Linked DNA regions of Pelodiscus sinensis. The protein of the gene in region 1 interacts with the protein of each later gene in a biochemical or structural test. Links are inferred from orthologs where the notes say so. Each region holds a gene or a part of one and is shown in the gene's direction. Other genes may lie near its edges. The genes, in order: FLT1 and PGF.

Region 1 (9,085 bases):
TAGGTCTAGCTGTGCTAATTCGAATTAGCTTAGTTCGAATTAACTAATTTGAACTAAGTTAGTTCTAATTAGTGCTGTAGTGTAGACATACCCATAGTTATCATTAACAAGGGATAGAGAATAAGACAGAGAATATTTTATTGCCTCTATATAAATACATGGTATGCCCACATCTTCAATACCATGTGCAGATGTGGTGGCCTCATCTTAAAAAGGTATCTTGGGTATTAGAAAAAGTTTAGAAAAGTGAACAAAAATGATTAGAGGTATGAAACAGCTATCAGATGCAGAGAAATTAATAAGATTGTAACTTTTCAGCTGAGAAAAGAGAAGACTTAAGGGGGATATGATAAAGATCTATAAAATCATGATTGGTGTGGAAAAAGTAAATAAGGAAGTTATTTACTTACTCCTATAACACAAAAGCTAGGGGTCATCAAATTAAATTAATAGGTAGCAGGTTTAAAACAAACAAAAGGAAGTATTTCTTCACACAATGCACAGTCAACCTGTGGAACTCCTTGCCAGAGTATATTGTGAAGGCCAAGTCTTTAACTGGATTCAAAAAAGAACTATATACATTCATGGAGGATAAGTCCATAAATGGCTATTAGTCAGGATGGGCACGAATAGTGTCCCTAGCCTCTGTTTGTCAGAAGCTGGGAATGAGCAATGAAGGATGGATCATTTGATGATTATCTGTTCTGTTTATTCCCTCTGGGGCACTTGACATTGGTCACTGTCAGAAGACAGCATACTGGTCTAGATGGACCTTTGGTCTGATCCAGTATGGCCGTTTTTATGTTCTTATGATCCAACTGGTTACAAGCAAGATATAAATGCCTAAGTGGACAGAATAGAGAGGGGGAGGTGCAACAGGAGCTCATTGTGTTTGGTGGCTGTACATACATGTCATTTTTTGGTAGTAATGGAGTTTTGACCTTAGTGGGAACCACTGCTAACCCTCTGAGCCCTCAGTCTGGTGGCTTGCCTGTCATATTGGCAAGCAATTAGTATGGGGGCATATAATGTCAGTGGCCAGGAATTTTAGTTGCAGAGCAAGTACGGAATTTCCTCTCATAGTACTGACCTTCATACACTCTCTCCATCTGAGTGAACGTATTATTTCCCTCTCCACCCTTCCCATATATAATTGCATAGTTTCCTTGTTTTAGCATGCCCACTAGTGGGGATTGTCATCTCTGGGGAAGGTGCTCTGCCCTGTGTTACTGCTCACAGTGAAGTGATTGATTTCAACCACCAGTGGAACCAGAAAGGAATTTCCTGCTAAAATGTTCCCATGTATTTTGGTTTTACAGTGGGCTGAGTGTTGCCTCAAGTGGTTTTCTCCTCTCTTAAAGGTCCAAGGGAGTTTCAAACACATATATCCATATCCCAGGATATTTACTGAGGCTGGGATATGCTGCAGTCTTTGCTAACAAAGTATCGTCCAACAGGGAAGCTATACTGAGTGATCTACTCCATCCAGTGTGCATGTGTTGACAACTTTAAACTATTCATATCTCCTGGGTGAGATCCCTCTATTTACAGTGAATGGTGTAGCCCTTTTCCATTTTCATGAAAACCCAATATACCATGTATGAGCATCACTAGAGCATGAATAGCACATCCCTAGGTTGAGCACCCTAATGGTGCTAGCTTGGATGGAATGGTGTAATGGACTGTAGGGCAGTCCAAGTCACCCCAGAGCACTTTAATCCAGGACAAGTTGGCAAAGACTTTGTGCTATGGGTAGGTTAATTTATCTGTCTACACTTCAGGCAATTGGACCCCCACATCACACATCTGCCTCTGGCTGTACTCTGCCCCAACACCAATGCCTACACAAGACTCACCCTTTCACAAGCGCCATCCATTTATGGTCCGAGTGCTGAAAGTGCAGGCACTGTTCAGCATGGTAATGTTTTGAGGGATACCTGGGAACAATTTTAACAAAGAACTGACATGGAAAAAGTTGGAATTAATTCAGAATTAATTAATCTATTAATTAATTAATTAATATATTATTTCTTCTTCTCTTCTGTTAGATCAACATCAACACTGAACATCCTGCAGCACAATCTGCTCTGAAAGGCCCCAATTCTATACAGGAATATTTAGGTTACTCACTGGAGCAGTGGCTATCATACTGTGCTTATCTTCTACATAGCATGCTCTGTAGGATAGTGTAGGCTTAGTGTTCTTGGGTCTTGGCACAACAACTCTACATGCTGTTTACAGCTTACAGAAGAAGCCAGCTCACTCCATAGCAAGAACAAGGGCATTCATAGCACTTGGTACTGGTCATCAGTGGAAGAGCAATAAACAGAGTAGTGAGTGAAAACTGCAGGGGGACCGAGAGCATTAACACCCACTTTTGGGGAACTACAATGTCACTGAGTTGGTGAACCTTTGCAATTACAAAACAAGTTGATTTGCCTACGGGCATTTCCAATTCCTCACCAGAAATCTGTAAAGCTACAGACTTAGCAACTGGTCCCCATCAGCCCTTCAGCAGACATGTTTGTCACATTTTGTAGAGGTTTTAGTCTTAGCTATTATGTTTGGCAGGTTTTCTTTTTAGCATTTGGTAATATTTTTTATCCAAAGTTTGAAAATAAATATCCCACAATTCATTGCCAAAGGGAATGTGACAGGCCTTAAAACATGTGAGGACAAAAAATGTCTGTCTGTATACCATATCTGGGGCTAACATTCTGGTGCAAAATAGTCAGGGAAGTACACCTCTCCGCAGGCTTGCCAATCCTTCCAGTAGCAGGTGTGTATATATATTTGGTACTGACTCTTCCCTAGGTCTGTGGCTTGATTATGTAATATCTATATTCCAGTAACACCCAACCACTCCCATCAAATCTGGGCCTAAACAAACAGACAAGGGCAGTGTGCAGAACTGATAATCTAAATAGACAATATAGGGAAAGAATAGTACATAATATTAAACAAAATTTAGTAGGGACAAACAGACCACCCTGCTGCTCTATAGTGCACAGTATTCAAGTGCCTTTCAACGGTGCTCTGATTTGCCTCCTTCTGCCCAACCCATGCCATACAAGTGTGTGGTTAGTATTTAATCCTTCCTCTTGTGTTTTGCGACCAGAGTTTTGCTTTATGGCTAGACTACTCCAAGAGGTTTTCCAGGATACCCAAGATATCCCTGGAAAACTCTTCTGCATCTAGGGATGCATTTGCTCTTCTGTTTTTTTTCCGGAAAAGCAAATGCGCTCTTTAGCAAGTCCCTGTATTCCTTGTTCTACTAGGAATAAGGGGGCTTCCGAAAGAGGGTTTTTTCCTAACATTTGGCCCAGTCTAGACAAGCCAAATGTCAGAAAAGCCTCTTCTGACAAAAGGATTGAAAAAAAAAAGCTGCAGTTTAGCCCTAAAAGTGTCTATTGTCTAGTTCTTTTCATCTCCCTGTCAGGATAATTTCAATCCTTCATCATCAGCATCCAACCCCCTTTTCCTCCTCCCCTTTTCTGGCTCCTTCTGACCACTTTTGAAGATATAATGAGCTCCGAAGGTGCATTCTTCTGATCCTGCTTCTGTTTCTCCTCTCTGTCTCTTCCTGGAGGTCCCCTACCAGGAGGAACCTATCCTGCCCTGCTTCTGTGGTCTGTGTTGAGAGGCCTCAGGGTACTTAGTGTACGAATTTCCTTCTGGGTCTCCTGCTGCTGCTCTTCCCTCTCTATTCCTGGGAGCAGTAGTATCAGGAGTAATTTCTGACTGGAAAAGCAGCCAGCCTTTCCAGTGGTTCATGGGTGGAAGCTTCTATAGAGACATATTTTTATTTCTGGTCACAGTATTGAAAGTACAGGATCAAATCACAGTCCTGTTTCGGGAGTTCACACAGATACTCTGCTCTACTACTTTCAAAGTTGAAAGATAAAACTACCCATTTGAAACCAGGGGCTTACTTCTTGGGCCAAGGGGATGCAGGCATTGTCACGAGCTGCCCGTGACTTTGGACGAGGTGCCTCAGGTCTGGTGCCTCCGATTGCTCGTGCTGTGACCTGGGGGTCCTTAGCACCCACCCGCCCCGCGGAGGCCGAGAGGGAACTTAATACGGTGGCGTTCCTGCCAGTGACAAGAGCACTGCGCTCCTCGCCGGGCAGGCAGACCCTGCGGCTTTCCCGGAGCCAGCAAAGAGCAACCCAAGGAGAGCGGGCCGGTCGCCCGGAGCATCTCCAGTGTGAGCAGCCGTGCGGAGGCCGCCCCAGCTCGGCGAGCCCCGCGGGGAGAAGCGCTCGGCACCGAGCGCCCCGCTTGCTGAGCTGCAGGGCGTGAAGCCACTGCCCAGAGGTGGACGTCCGCGCTGCGCTCAGCCCGCGGTACTTTACCGGGGCCGCCCGGGAGCCGCTAGCGGGAAGGTCCCGAGGCAATGCAGGGCCCGCGATCTGCCTGCAGCCAGCGGCTCCCGTCCCCCGGTGCCCAGGGGAGGCGCTGGCAGGGGGAGCCGGGCCCCGCGCTGTGGGGCTGGCGGCGATGGAGAGGCGCTGCCCAGCCGGACTCAGGCTGATGGGGGGGGGGGGGGGGTAACAGAGCCAGGGCAGGGCAGATGCACTAGCACTAGGACACACGTGTATCCCAGCCTCGCTGGGGCCGGGAGCGCAGGCGGAGGACGCGGTGCGATGGGACTGCAGCGCTGTGGGAGTGACGGGGGGCGGCGGGCTGGGGGGCAGCGCAGCGTGGGCACGGAGGGGCCGGGAAGTGGGCGCTGGCTCCAGCCGCACTCCTGCGCAGGCAGCAGGGCACGGCAGGGGGCCGGAGGGGCCGGGGGCTCCGGAGGGGAGGGGGACCCGGTGACGCAGAGAGGAGGGCGTGATCCGCCGGGAGGATGTGGAGGTTATAAATCAGCCGGGCGGCGGGCAGCTCCCTGCGAAGGGATGTCCACGGGAGTTTAAGCGCGCAGCTGGAAGCGCCCTTACGGAGCGGAGCGCAGCGCTGCCCGGGGCTAGGGGCTGCTGGATGGTGATCTCTCCCCGGGACCTGCTGCCCAACTAGCTTATCCCCCGTGGGGAAAGCGAGTCCGGGCCGGCTGCCGGAGCAGCAGCCCCTCTGCTGGGTGTCCTCGAGCCGCGTCCTCTCTCCGAGCAGGCTCGGGCAAAGCTCTCCACCCTGCGCGCACCTCCCGGGCAGGACCATGGGCAGCCGGGCGCTCGCAGGGGCCATGCTGTGCGGGCTGCTGGCACCCGCTCTCCTTTTCGCAGGTGAGTGGCCCGTTCCCCTGCGGGGGGAAGGATGAAGGGAGGAGGACGGTCGAAGTTAAATGATCCATGGGACAGCCGGCTGCGCGAGGCTCTGCGCCCCAGAGAGACACCTCCAAATCCCGGGCAGTGCCTGGGGGAGTCTGACCCGCAGGGGGACGGGAGCTGGGGTCCCACCCGGACGGCATTTCTCCTCTCCCCACAGGGCCCCCGCTGCCTCCCCCTGTTCCCAGCTGGAGGCTGCTTTGCTCCCAAACGGGGCGCTGCCCCTATTATCCTGTAAGCAGGTTCCCGTGGTCCCCCTCGGAGCTGCCCCGTCTAACTCTCCTGGGCAGACATTGTGAAACGCTGGGGAGAAGCTGGATCCTGCCGCGCTGTGGCTCCAAACCCACAACTTGTAGCATCGAAATGTAAAGAGCAAGGCTAGCGGTTCCCTCCTTGCTACAGGCAGCATCCCGGGCCCGGTTTCAGCCCGGGGCTCCCGCAAGATGTTGGAAAAACTGGATGTAAATTGTACGATCGAAACAGACACTCGCGGTAGTCGCACTTCCCTGGAGCAATCTGGACTCTGATACATCCTGGTCCAACATCAATCTGACCAGTGTGGGAGGCACAATGAGTACTTCAGTCGTGACCATTTTAATCCTATTTCCGCAAAATCCTATTTTTAAAGGGGGAAAAAATGTAGCAACTATTAGCGACCCCGAAAATCCAGCCCTGTGCGCACCTAGATGCGGCTGGGTTTTAAATCTCAAAGCCTTAAATTCTACCAGAAAGAAGAGCGCCAGCCCCGATCCCACTGCTAAGATCCAGATCCTGAAGTATGCGTGGTAAATAGCACCGCCAGGACAGAGATCTATCAAAGCAGAGCTCGGGACACAGATTTATCTCATTCAAGCTATACTTTGTCTCTAGAGAGAGTAAAATATTGCGGATCTAGGTGAAAAAAAAATTGGCCATAGCATGGTGGCTCCCGGTCCATGTGTGGATGTTACCAGGGCTTGTGTGCCGGGATGTATCAGGGACCAGGTATTTTAGCAAGGACGTCGCTTGGTTTCCATTTCCTCAACAGAATGTAGAGACCTGTGGCCCATATTCCCTGGATCCGGTAAAAGTATTGGAGCCTGGGTTTGTCTGGTTAAGCAATGTGCATGGTCTGTTTTGATGGTACAGTTCGGAGCATTCAAACCAGTCGGGCCAGCAGGGCGAAGTTCTAATTTGCTGGGGCGCACAAGGTTATGGATTTTTGCAGTGGCATGCTTGCTTTTCTTGGTGCTGGAACAGAGCTTTCCAGATGAGAGGTAAAGCTGTTTGAAGATTCACGGGAGTTGAACCAGGCAGAAGGAGAGCTCTTGTTCAAGTGTGAGAAAATACTAAAATGCATGTGGAAACAGGGCCAAATATAGACCTGGTGTAACCATACTGAAGCCAGGTATGGATTTGCCACATAATGGAAAGCAAATGTAAAGTCTGCAACAGAGGAAAATTGCTAATTGAGATTAGCCTCAGAGAGACAACTACATTTTGTTCAATGTGATGACTATGCTAAGGGGCAGGTTGAATCAGAGTTTCTAAGTAAGTAGCAAATATTTTTACATGAGCGTAATCAAATTATTCTGTTGCATGATGTGCTATAAATTATTTGTAAGGAAGATTACAGAGCCAGTTAAGTGTTACATTTTCCGGCAAACTATTCTACCTTCTGGTTTCTATTAAATCCTGCCTGAATAGCTGATGCCCAGTACAGTTATAAAGGCTGTGCTGATTTCATAAAGTCCTGGCAGTAATAGAAATAATTTGTGCATGTGAGTAAAACAGTCCCAAAATATTGTATTGTTTCATTGACAGATTTTGACTTGAAAAGCATTGAGAATACAGCTCTGTCTGCATATATACAATTAGAGGCAGTGGGGTCAAATCCTGCTAGTGATTTTCAGTTGGGATGGGAAACTGGTGATGGGGCATGTATGCCAACACACTAACTACAGTATATGGTCATTATCTATCCTACAAAGTCTCCTATTCTGTCACTTGCTGTGTAGTAGATCTCCCAGAAGGGAAGACCATGCTCCTTTGAAGTCCATAGCAAAACTCTCCATGACTTCAATTTTGAGCAGGATCAGGCCCTGAATACTAAAAGAGCAGGAAGGGGTGTGGAATGGAGGATTGGGTGGTGAGGAATTACTTGTTAAAGTTAATGCATTGATTCTCCATAGACTCTTACTCCCATCACCAGAAGCAGATCTGGGAAGGAAATGGTTTTCCCATTGCATGAACATTTTTCAACTATCAAAACATTTCCCCATTCTGCAATGGGAGGAAATGGAGACCTTTCTCATGGAAAAGTGCATGAGAGAGGGTACGCCCCTGGCATAGCCAATAGCCTAATGGTCAGGGCACTCACGTGGCAGGTAGGGGACATAAATTAAAGCCCTGCTCTGCCATACCTGCAGTGAGAGCCCTAATTACCAGGCTATTGAGTGTTTGAAGGTGGGGACTGTCAATGGCTCCCATGGAAGCTGTTCCACTTTGCATAGATAAGGCAAGAGGATCTGACTCTAGATCTGTGGCTAGGGCACTGATGTAAGAAACACAGCTTCAAATCAGATCAAGGCTTGCAGGAACACTAAAAAAATAGCTGTAGAGAGGTTGCGTTGGTGTGCAACTCAGGGTGGTGCTTGGGCGGTCAACACAGGCCACTCTGCAGACTTCAGAACCCAAGCGCTAGTCAGAGACTTCAGAGTGCCCATTATATAGTTATTTTTAGATTGTCGGCATCAGCCCCCAGCACAGTCTGCCAGCCTGGCCTCTGCCATCCAAAATGCTGGGTAGACATACCCTGTATGGCTAATCTACTTACATCCTCTCACTCATTGAAGCATCGGAGGGGAGAAGCTCTGCTCTCGTTTAGAAGACAGTAAGTTGGACCAGACTGTTAGGAGGAGTTGGTTTAGCAATTATTTGTGATAGGGAGTCATTAGGAAAGAGAAGAGGAAATGGTATTTGAATTAGTACATGTGTTTTCAGTCATTTAAAGTTTCCTATGCTAACACATTAGCTATGTGTCTCTTTGGAAATTAGATTGAAGAAATAATATTTATTTTCTTGTAATTGTCAGTCCGAGCTTTAGGAGATCTTTGCATTCAGAGATATTCACCTGCCACTACAATGTTGGCTTCTCTCCCATGTCACAGCAGAGCATGTTAGTTTGTTTTTTATGTTTGCATATATGCGTGATCATTTGTTTATATCCATCCAGTAGCATTTGCTAAGCACGTTTACCAAATGGTAGAAATTAAACCTTTCATGCCATATTATGGTCTAATCCTGCACAATTTAAATAAATTAGGGCATGGTTGCGCAAGGGCTAAAGGATTCTTTACACATTTTTACAGGAGTGAAGAGCTAGATTCTTCAGTCCTTGTCTCTTGAGGACTGCAAGAGGATTTTGCCTGAGTCACGGCAGCAGTACTGGGCCTAAACCCCTTACTAATAGGTGTGTGTGTGTGTGTGTGTGTGTGTGGTCACACTACGTTGTACATATACACTCAGAGAGCCTTCCAACAAACAGATCGGATAATGAATAAATTTCTTCATTTTTAAATGATAGTTCAGAGTGAAAGCCACAGTCAGCAAAAACAATAGCCTTCCTAAATTTGCACCTTTGTCCTGTTGAGAGGCCTGTTGGGGCCAAGACTGAGCACTAAGTGAAAAGAGAAATAATAGATGAGATAGCTTCAAAGGCTAGTCACCTTTACACGTTAATTTTTGTCATCCCTTGTACTGCTGTGACAGCTATGGTCAGGCCCCATTGTATTAGATGTTATACAATCATGCTCCCTGGCTCAAAGAGCTTACATTAT
Region 2 (9,532 bases), on another chromosome or scaffold:
TGCTGGGCTGTTTTTGTTATGAGGAGAAATTGATGCTAAGTCTGTTATTTCTTTGGTGCAATCCTGTTTATTTGCAAAGACTACACAAAATCTTGCTTTCCTGACCATAGTGGAAACAATCAACAGCTGGTAGTTTCCTTGCTCAGAAATCCAAGTCTCACACAGCTGGAACCAATCAGCCCCAGGGAAACCTCTTATTCTCCAGAGGCTAGATCTTGCTCAAGTATTACCATAAGCCAACTTGGGTGGTGGGTTTTATTGTTTTAACTATCACTGTGTAAAAGGGCTTTTACTTACTCCTTCCATTTAGCCAGAATGAAGCTTAGGTCTGTGATTGTCTAGCAATCAAAACTTGCTTGATGGCTGCTGTGAACATCTGCCAGCATAACAATAATAAACAGGGACACCTGCAATGGGCTGTTTTCCTTTGTGCTTCCTTTTACAGACATTCTGATATACTATGAGGTAAGCCTCTCTGTAGGGTCTGCCTCCTGCCCAGGAGCATGCCAATGGAATGGGAATGCTCCCTATGAACTATGTAGCTTGATTTCACCAGAGCAAGCTGGAGCAATAGCAAACAAAGGGGCTGTGGGGAGGATGGGAGATCTCAAGCTGCCTACATCCCCAGGTACAGTGGTAATATTTGTTAGACACTGGGCAGATTTTGCTCTATAGGAATCACCCTGCATCTGGGGAAATGTTCCTCTTTTCTTTGTGTCCTACTGTCTTTCTCCTGAGCCTTGAATGTCTCTTGCCTTAGCAGTGGATGGCTCAATTTCCCATTCCCAATGATTTGTGCCAGCCAGTCTGTGGGGCATTAGGGAGTGCATGCAGTGCCAGCCAATCTGTGGGGCATTAGGGAGTGCATGCAGTATGTGGCCAAGTCGTGGGGGCTGAGCTCTGCTGTTGTGGAGTGCCATGATGTTCTTGCATTGTGACAAGGCCTAAGGGCACCTGCCCATCCAGCCTGTGTTGGCTTTTTAATGTTCTTTCTTCTTTCCCCATTGTGATAATTTGGGGAATCCATTATCCGGCTGATGAATTCTGGTGCATTTTATGAAATTGCTGCATCATTGAATTCCTCAGTGAGTCAGCCATGGGCTGTTGAGATTCCCCGACTCTTTCCCTCACCCTGTCTGGGAGAAGCTACAATCCAAACAAAATAAGTCATTAACCTTAATGACTGTGCAGGCATCATATCAGAGGTATGCTGAGGAGGGTTCCTGAGCTGGAAAACCTGTTTAACCAAGTTTATCAAGGGAGTGCTGATATAAAGACAAGAAGTTTCAGGCAGGGGAGAGAATGAAGGGGCTGGCATACTTTTATAGCAGAGAGCTCCTTTTTGACTGTGGGGCCAGCCATGGCTGGTGTGAGGCATGTGCAGTCAGTCCCCCCTGCATGTGGCCCCGTGCTTTATTATTGGTCCCACCTGCCTGGGTGGCATGTCCTACCTGAGGCACTGCCTGAAGCAGTAGACTGTGCATGGCAGTGGTAGCCCCCCCCCCCCCCCCCCCCGCCCAGTGGGGTCTGCGGGAGAAGAGGAGGAGCCTGTTTTGGATGCCAGTGCCTCTGGCGATCTGGCTCCTCATGCTGTCAGCCCAGGAGCTCTTCATGCTGCTGAGAGAGCAGCTGCTGCAGCCCCACCTGGGCAGAGCCAGAGTCCCCGGTCCACTGTGAAGCTATTGGTGGCCCAGGCCCCACCATCCTATTCTAACTAAGCCCTGCAAATAATCATGCCTGCCCTGGGGCCAGCTGGTGAAGAAGAAAGCTACTTGCAGCGAAGAAACATTCTGTGATTTGAAGGAGAGGCATGTGCAGGAAGGGAATCCTGGAGTCCAACCAAATCCCAAAGAACACTCCCAAGGGGTAAGGAAGCTGAGGCAGGGAACAGCATGTAGATGTGGTGTTATTTTTACCTCAGTCTGTATCTCTCTTGGGCTCACTAATGTGATTGTGTTAGAAACTTTTACAAACCCCCTGTATTATGGGCTTCGGCAATCACGTACTCCTCTGGAGTTGGACTGTAACTCAAGTGCCTATACGCAGTGATGTGGTAGAAATGTAGCCGTGTTAGTCTGGTGCAGCTTAGGCTTGCGAGTGGGCCACATGAGTCGCCCTCCTTCACCTCAGTGGGCTGCGAGATTGATATAACCAAAATGGGTTCCCAAGGTAGAGTAGTTTTGCTCACTGTGCTTGAGTCCTAGAATTTGCAAGGTATGGCAATTGAACCTAGCAAGGCTTTGATTGGATGCAGAGGGAGTGCACAGCTCTCACAGTCAGTGTTGTTGCAATGAGCATACACTTCACCTCAGGTACCCTTTCTGTAAGTGCATGTTGTTTTAGTAATACCAGGAGGAAGAAAACTACGTGGCTGGAAACCAGTGGACTCTGGCAACCCGGCACATGGGCAACAGTAAACAAAATGCCTCACAAGCCACACACAGAACCCGAGTAGGCCTCCGGTTGCCCACTACTGAATCATGGGGTTGGAGCTCTGGACAAAGATGTCCCTAAGCTATCAGGCAGTCTTGGAGGTGGTTAGCACTGATCTTGGGTCCTAGGGCAGCTGTGTGGTGAGCTGCTGTCTCTATGAAGATGTAACAGACAAGCTGTGCCTGGGAAGTGTGCCAGAGAGGCCAAAGACCAAAGGGCTTAAAGTGCAATGGGCCCAGTGTGTTGGGATCCAAACACAACAGCCTTGGTGAGTGTTCAGAAAGGGGAGCTTGACTAGGGCTGTGACACCAGAAATGGGATGGCTTGTCATGTCCATGAGCTCAGCAGGGATATGTTGGATGGGTTCAGACAACATGTAAGCCTTGCTGGGTTGCTGACAAATGATTCCTCATCACCACCTCCCTCATGTCCTTGTGAAGGTGGAGGCTTGGGCTGGGAAGTGCTTTCCTGGTTTGTCCCTCAATCTTGGGAAGGCTGAGATGGAACAGACAGAGAAGCAGGCTCTGCCCTGGTCTGTTATTGACAAGAATGCGTGTCTGCTGGAGCCGCATTCCAGCGCCTGGTGCACACACCCTGGGAACATGAGCCCACAAAGCAGCCAGATGCAGCTCAGCACTGAGGAATTCCAGCTCATCACAGGGGCCTCTTGCTCCTCTCAGAGCATAAGTGGATCGTGTTTGCTCCCTTGTGCAAAGACTCAGGAGGATAAGGATTTAATCTCCCCTGTCATGGGAAGCCTTAGTTGCCACACTGGGGGGCCATGTCTATTTCCTGGGAGGACAAGAGAATTCTGAACCCTGACATGAATCCCACTGTGCAGAGCTGTTACTAGTGTCCCATTTTGGATCATGCTACCTTCAGGTGCCCAAATCTGCCCTACCCACCAGAACTGCAGCTTTGCCAAGACTCCCTGGGTTAGAGAGAGAACATAACTGTCCTGGTTATTCCTTCACACCAGCACACTGACAACAGAGTTTGGCTCCTCGTGTTGTCAGGGATTGTTATTTCTGATTACCAGAGAGTTAATTTCCCACGCTCTTCTATCTGTAGCCCTGACTCAGCCTAACAGCCACCACTTCCTCGCTCAGGAGATTTCACTCTCCAGTGTGTTAAAAAGCAAAATGAGACTGTCACAATACATTGCCAGCGACTAGAGTTTGAAACTCTTTGGGGCTTTTCTCTTCAGAAGGCAGCTGATCTGGCAAGAACAGAAAAGCTTCAGAGTGGATTGGTGGTATGGTACCAGGGTGCAAAGAGCCCTCAGACGGATCTCTTTGCAAGTCTGCACCAAAATAACTACACTGGATTTAATTCACACCTTTTGTTGTTTCAGTAGAAGTTTGTATATATAAAAGCGCTTAAATAGTAGGATAACAAACTTAGATTTAAAAAGACATTGAAAACCCTCTTGCAAGAAAGTGTTAGCATAGGTGGGATTATATGAAAAGCAATTAGAAGTACAGGCATCTCAGGTCTCAGCCCTGACCTAGGATTGAGCTGGTGAGCAGCAGTGTAGCATATTGACACACTGCTTCCAAGTGCCTTTCTTGTTCTTCCATTCTCAAGAAAGAGTAATAAGCAAAAGTAACTTGGAAGCTGTTATGCCTGCAGAGAAGTCCTTGAAAATGTGACCCATGTGCACAGCAGTGCAGTAATATGTGCCTGAGTTGCAGAATACTGGGCTCAGTATCTCTGCTTGACAGGTGGAGTTTATTGTGGGCAGAACATGGCAGAGTACTGCTATTCCCCTTCTCCCCAATTTGATGCTTGGTTTTGAACCAACTGAAAACCATTGGCAAGCAGGCTGGGAAGCCCAAAGGAAGTGTAAATGTTGGAGTTCTTGCAAGAAAATACAATTTGAGCGACAGTCCCCTCATTGTACTATAGCTGTGATGAGTCTGCCTTCGCATATTTTGCAGTGAGCAGCACTGTCCCATTTTATACACTTGAGTTATGTGGGGAGGGGTTCTTGGGGATGGGGACAGCTGGCTTGTACAGCTATCTAAAAGAGTAGATTCTTGTTATTTATTAAGTGCTGACTGCATTCAAGACTCTGTAGATGCCAGAATCCCTGCCCCATGGGATATACAAAAATAAATAGCCATAACCAGATGCACTGGCAGAGCCAGTGGATGATGCTAACCTGGAGTTTTTTTAAACACTTATGGTAGCAGTTTGTACTAACAGGGCCTTCCTGAGCCATGTGGAGGAAGGAAGTATGAAGGAGGGAGGTTGGATATTGGCATTTTGGGACGTGGAGAAGGTTTCAGCCATAGGATGTTAGCTCTCCATGTCTCTGTAGATCATGCCCTCTTGACTAACACAGACAACCAGGCACCTCTAAGAAATCAGAATACTCTTATTTTTCTTCTAGCTGAAGCAAAGTAGTTGGCTCCTCAGCACAACATGTTATGGCTCTGGGCTGATGCATGCAGAGTACAAAGGCAGCAGTTCTGCAAGGCGCATCTTAAATTAGCTTTATCAACTCCAACTGTCTCTTAAAAATCAGAGAAAAGAGGAATCTGTGCCTCTGGTCCCTGGGGCAGCTCAACAGCCCAAGGTTGGCGTCCTTCCTCAGCTTTCTCTGAGCTCCCGTACCAGACAGGTTTAACTTGGCAGCTGTCATGAAGGGTCAATTGTTACCATTAAATCCACTCACCCATGTGTCAACTGTCTCAGATTTAAATAAACATAAAAATCACCGTGTCCAATACCACAGTCCAGGGTCTGCAACATTCCAGTCGGCAGTGTATTTCATAGGGATTAATAGAGAAATGATTCTTTATATTGTGAGTTCTCAGGGCAAGGACCATGTCCATGTCTCTATGTACAGCACTGTGCACTTCGTGGCCCCAATGGAGGCCTCCAGGCACTGCCACAGAACAAATGCTTATTAAGAGAACTAGTTCAAGGGAAAGCCTATAGAAAGGCCTAACCCCCAGGAGAAGCCGGGATAAGGTTCAGCCTGAACTTGAGTTCTCAACATCAGTATAATATAAAAGCGCAGGAGAGCCAGCGAGGGTGGGGAAGGGAGAACCAGGCACACACATTACACAGAATGAAGCTGAGAGTTATAGGGGTTAGAGATTAAAGCGCTCTGTTGGCTCCTGTCTATTCCCTCACTGGAGATCCAGGGCAGATCATTTTCTACACTCTATTGGCCAAGGTCCGGTCATATTTGAAGGGTCTCAAGCGATGTGGTTGTAGGGCCTAAAACCCCCATTGACTCTCCCATTGCACGTGCGGGGGGTGGGGGGGGGGTTAGGAGAGAACAGCCTCACTTCCCCCGGGCACCCCTGCCCGGGCGCTCGCTCCCAGCTGCCTGAACCCACGACATCGCTCACAGCCACAGCTGCGCGCGCCTGCAGCACTCGCAGCAGCCCCTGCCCAGTGACGCGCGCGCACCTGTGGGTGAGCACCCAGAGCCCCGCCGGGGCACGCGGGGCCGCGGATGCACAACCAGAGGAAGCAGGCGGACAGCTGGAGTCTGCGGGGCTCGGAAGTCCGGAGGATGCAGCGCCGCTTTGTGCGGTCTCGGAGGAAGAGAAAGTGGGAGTGAGGGTGTGAGGTGGGGAGGGGCTTGGGCGGAGCCTGCTGCTCATGAAACAGAGCTGCGGAGCCGGCAGGGCAGCATTCACATGGCTGGAGAGCAGCTGCTGGGTGCAGGGGGGCGCCAGTGCAGGAGCAGGAGGGGGCTTGGGTGCGGCGATTGAGCGGGGCAGAGGTGGTGTCAGTGTCCCAGGACGAGCACCTCGGCGATCTGCGCCCCTTGTCCCCAAGACCCATGCTACTCGGGGCTCTGTAGCGCTGTCCTCCCATCTCCTGGCGACGGGCCAGCATCGCCTGCAGGACACAGCCTCTCCCAGGGCTAAGCTGCTGTCATTGGATCCACGGGTGCTGTGCTGGGGACGCTCGGGTCCTGGATTGTGACCAGCTCCTGGGAGCGCCACAGCCAGGGGGTCGCTCCGCCGTCCCCCCGCACTGGAATCTCCCGCGGGGCAGCATGTTTGTGTTAGCTGGGCCACGGGACTCTTCACTTGGGCAAAACTGAGGAGGCAGAACCAGTGATGCAGCTTCTCGGCAGCTTCTTGAGACTTCTTGTGGCTCTCGCGCTGCAGGCACCACCCGCTCAGGTGAGGGACCGCAGCTTCTTGCACCCCCATAATGGGTCTGGGGGAACAGAGAGGGCACTAGCCGTGGGAAAGTCCTCAGGGATCCTGGTGTAATGGTCCCAAGCCCCGTTACCCTCTTGCATCACTGTGGGACTAGAGAACTGCTGAGGAATGGCCCCTGTAGTGTACTTGGCAGGACAGTTGCAGAGTGGAGATCAGTCTGAGGAGCTGTTCTCGGGTTGTCCCACTACTAACCCTCCCCAGTCTCTGAGTTGTGAGTGACCCCTTGTTCCTTGGGACCTCCCTTTGCACAAGAAGAGGAGGCTGACTGAGATCCTGCTGGGCTGGCCGACAACTGGGGGGGAGGGGGTAGAAGATCAGTATCTCAGATGCTCTCTGATGATAAGGCTGGCTCCATCTTATGTCCAGGAAAAATAAACTCCCAGGTTACATCCTGTGAGAAGAGGGGAAGTGCCAATATTGTAGGAAAGCTGCAATGGGTCTGCAGCTTGCAGACAGTCCAGCGACTGCTCTTCAGCTGAAAGTGTCTGGAGAAGACTGTGAGCCGTTCGCCCAGGAGAGCAGTCCCATGGTGCGGGACAGGTGTCAAAGCAGCCGGGTGAACTCTGAGCCCCAGGTACCCTCCTACACCTGGCAAATCCCATGGAAGAGCCCTCTGCTCCCAGGAACAACAGCAGAGAGTTTCCTATCTGCTGAAAGACAAGTGGGAGACTCATCTTCCCAGACCCCCCCTACCAGAGCCACATATCCCATGGATGCTGAGTCCCAGGGCATGTGCTGTGACCAGCAAGGCAGCAGAGCATTACTGCACTGAAGCAGGGATGTGGCCTGATGCAAGAACACCATCTGCTCTCCAGCAAATGAGGTCTTAACAGTGCCCCTCCCTTGTACAGCTTCTCTGAGAAAGTCTAAGTAATTGATTGAGTACCCAGGGGTGGGAGGAAGCCCAGCCCAGCCCAGGAGATGAGGGGAGGTATTTCCTCTTTTTAAGCATATATTAATTTGCTTTGATTTTTGGTTTCAAACATTTGCCATTGAGGAAAAGTCCATCCCAGCTGATACCCCTGTGATTTGCTTCTGCTAAGTGTCTGTCAGCTGATCTGGGCTACTCATACCTGCTGCAGCCAGCCCACTTTGTGCTACCCGTCCATCACAGTGGGGCAGCCTTGGTCAGCATTTAGATGGCAAAGCCCCTCCTCCCCCTGCAAAGGAAACCCAGAGCATGGCTTGGAGGAATTCGGATTTATACAGCATCCCAGATACGCATGGCACATCCCAGATATACCTGGCCCCTGAATGAGTCCAGAAGGGCAGATGACAACATGCTGTGAGCTGGCAGAAGGGAATCAGATGGGGCTCAGACAGCATCATGTAGGGATGTAAAAGGTTAAATGGTTACCTGGTTACCCTGTAAGCATTAGCATAAGCATACTTACTGGTTAATCAAAGGGCTCAGCTAGCAGGAGCAGCCCGGCCAGCAGGACCCTGACTGCGACAGACCTGAGGGGACAGAGCAGCCCCCAGCCCATGGGGCTGGAGCAGCCTTTGCTGTCTGTGATCAGTGGTTAACCAGTTAAACATGCTGTTTAACCAGTTAACTATTTTAGGCAGTTTTTACATCCCTGGCATCATGATGATTGGGGTATTGAGACACTCAACTAGCTCAGGAAAGGGAGGAGGAGTGCTGGGGACTCAGTAGGGGGAGTTCTTTCCTTGCAGTGTTGGGCTCCATTTTAATCCAGTATTGACCCTAGGCCCCAGCCTGGCAGGACTGGGGGTAGGGTGGTAGGTGTTATATGGATGAGAGGTAAACTGACATGCTGACCGTGTGTGGTTATTGGATCCCATGGCATGTTGGATAGGAGCTGAGATGTCAGCCTGGGTTTCTTCTGCCTCCTGCAGTTTGAAGTTACACAAAGTCTTCACCTTCCCACAACCTCCTTAGCTGTTGTTTAGTGAATAATGTCCCACCTAGCCCATCTCCTGGGAGCCAGGGCAGAGTCGGTCCCTGTTGTGTTGCACTCAATCTACAGTAGTTTTAAAATTAACTTCACCAATGGCCGCTCTTATACAGCTGCCACATTATACTTCAAAGGTCACCACATTAAGTGGTGAGTGAAACAATCTCTTGCGGATCCACAACAGCTATAAACATGCTAGATAACACTCACTCCTGCCATGAGTGCTGCGGATTGGACTGGATGAGGTCCCCTCTAGGCCTATAATTCTATGCTATTTATTATCATTATTATTTATTAGCTCAGTTGTCTTCCTGCTTCTCCATGTATACCTCCAAATGCTCCACAACAGATCTGAGCTGGAAGGGCCAAGTACAGTGGATGGATAGGTGGGTGAATGATGCATGCAGATAGGTGAGAATGGGTGGGGGTTTGCTGCACTTTGCTTATTCCCCACTGCCTCTTTCTAAATGTCTCTGCATTTCTCTCCCAGCAGTGGGACAGATTCAGCAGAAATATTACCTCAGAAGCGCAAGGTGAGTCTGTAGCTGGTTCTCCTGGCTGTATGTGAGAATATTAGATCTCCGGTGGGCTCTGGAATTCTCTCTCTTCTTCTCCCTGCCCGGGGAGCCTGGGGATCCCCTCATGTCCACTAATCCCAGAGGAGGAGACAGACCCCAGGGAAGGGGCGGCAGGCTTCAGAGGTAGGTGATAAAACATGGCCTATGGGGAATCAGATTGGGACTATCATAAGTCATTGGGGGGAGACAGAGGAGTACACATAGAAAATGTATTGGGGAAAATGGCTCCTCTGACCCCCCCCAAGAAGTTAGTTCCCCAAGACACCCACACTACTGCACTCTGGGAAGATGCTTATCCAGCCTTCTTCAGAACTGATGAGTGCCAACAGGGCAGCCCCTTTTCTGGGAAAGAGCAGGATCAGAACTGAGCAGAATTCTTTAGGTGAAATTTATTTTTGACCAAAAT

The links.
Region 2: the proteins of FLT1 (region 1) and PGF are reported together in a solved structure, tested with the Homo sapiens proteins (2 studies listed by BioGRID and IntAct, with this or other methods). The link is inferred for Pelodiscus sinensis from reciprocal best matches to the Homo sapiens genes FLT1 and PGF.

The regions. Positions count from the first base shown.
Region 1 is NC_134711.1:299,711,603-299,720,687, forward strand, and holds the start of FLT1 (vascular endothelial growth factor receptor 1), read left to right. Parts: upstream 1-4,831; 5' UTR 4,832-5,158; coding exon 5,159-5,225; intron 5,226-9,085. UniProt on the Homo sapiens protein: Tyrosine-protein kinase that acts as a cell-surface receptor for VEGFA, VEGFB and PGF, and plays an essential role in the development of embryonic vasculature, the regulation of angiogenesis, cell survival, cell migration, macrophage function, chemotaxis, and cancer cell invasion.
Region 2 is NC_134714.1:44,146,909-44,156,440, forward strand, and holds the start of PGF (placenta growth factor), read left to right. Parts: upstream 1-6,042; 5' UTR 6,043-6,521; coding exon 6,522-6,587; intron 6,588-9,038; coding exon 9,039-9,081; intron 9,082-9,532. UniProt on the Homo sapiens protein: Growth factor active in angiogenesis and endothelial cell growth, stimulating their proliferation and migration. It binds to the receptor FLT1/VEGFR-1. Isoform PlGF-2 binds NRP1/neuropilin-1 and NRP2/neuropilin-2 in a heparin-dependent manner.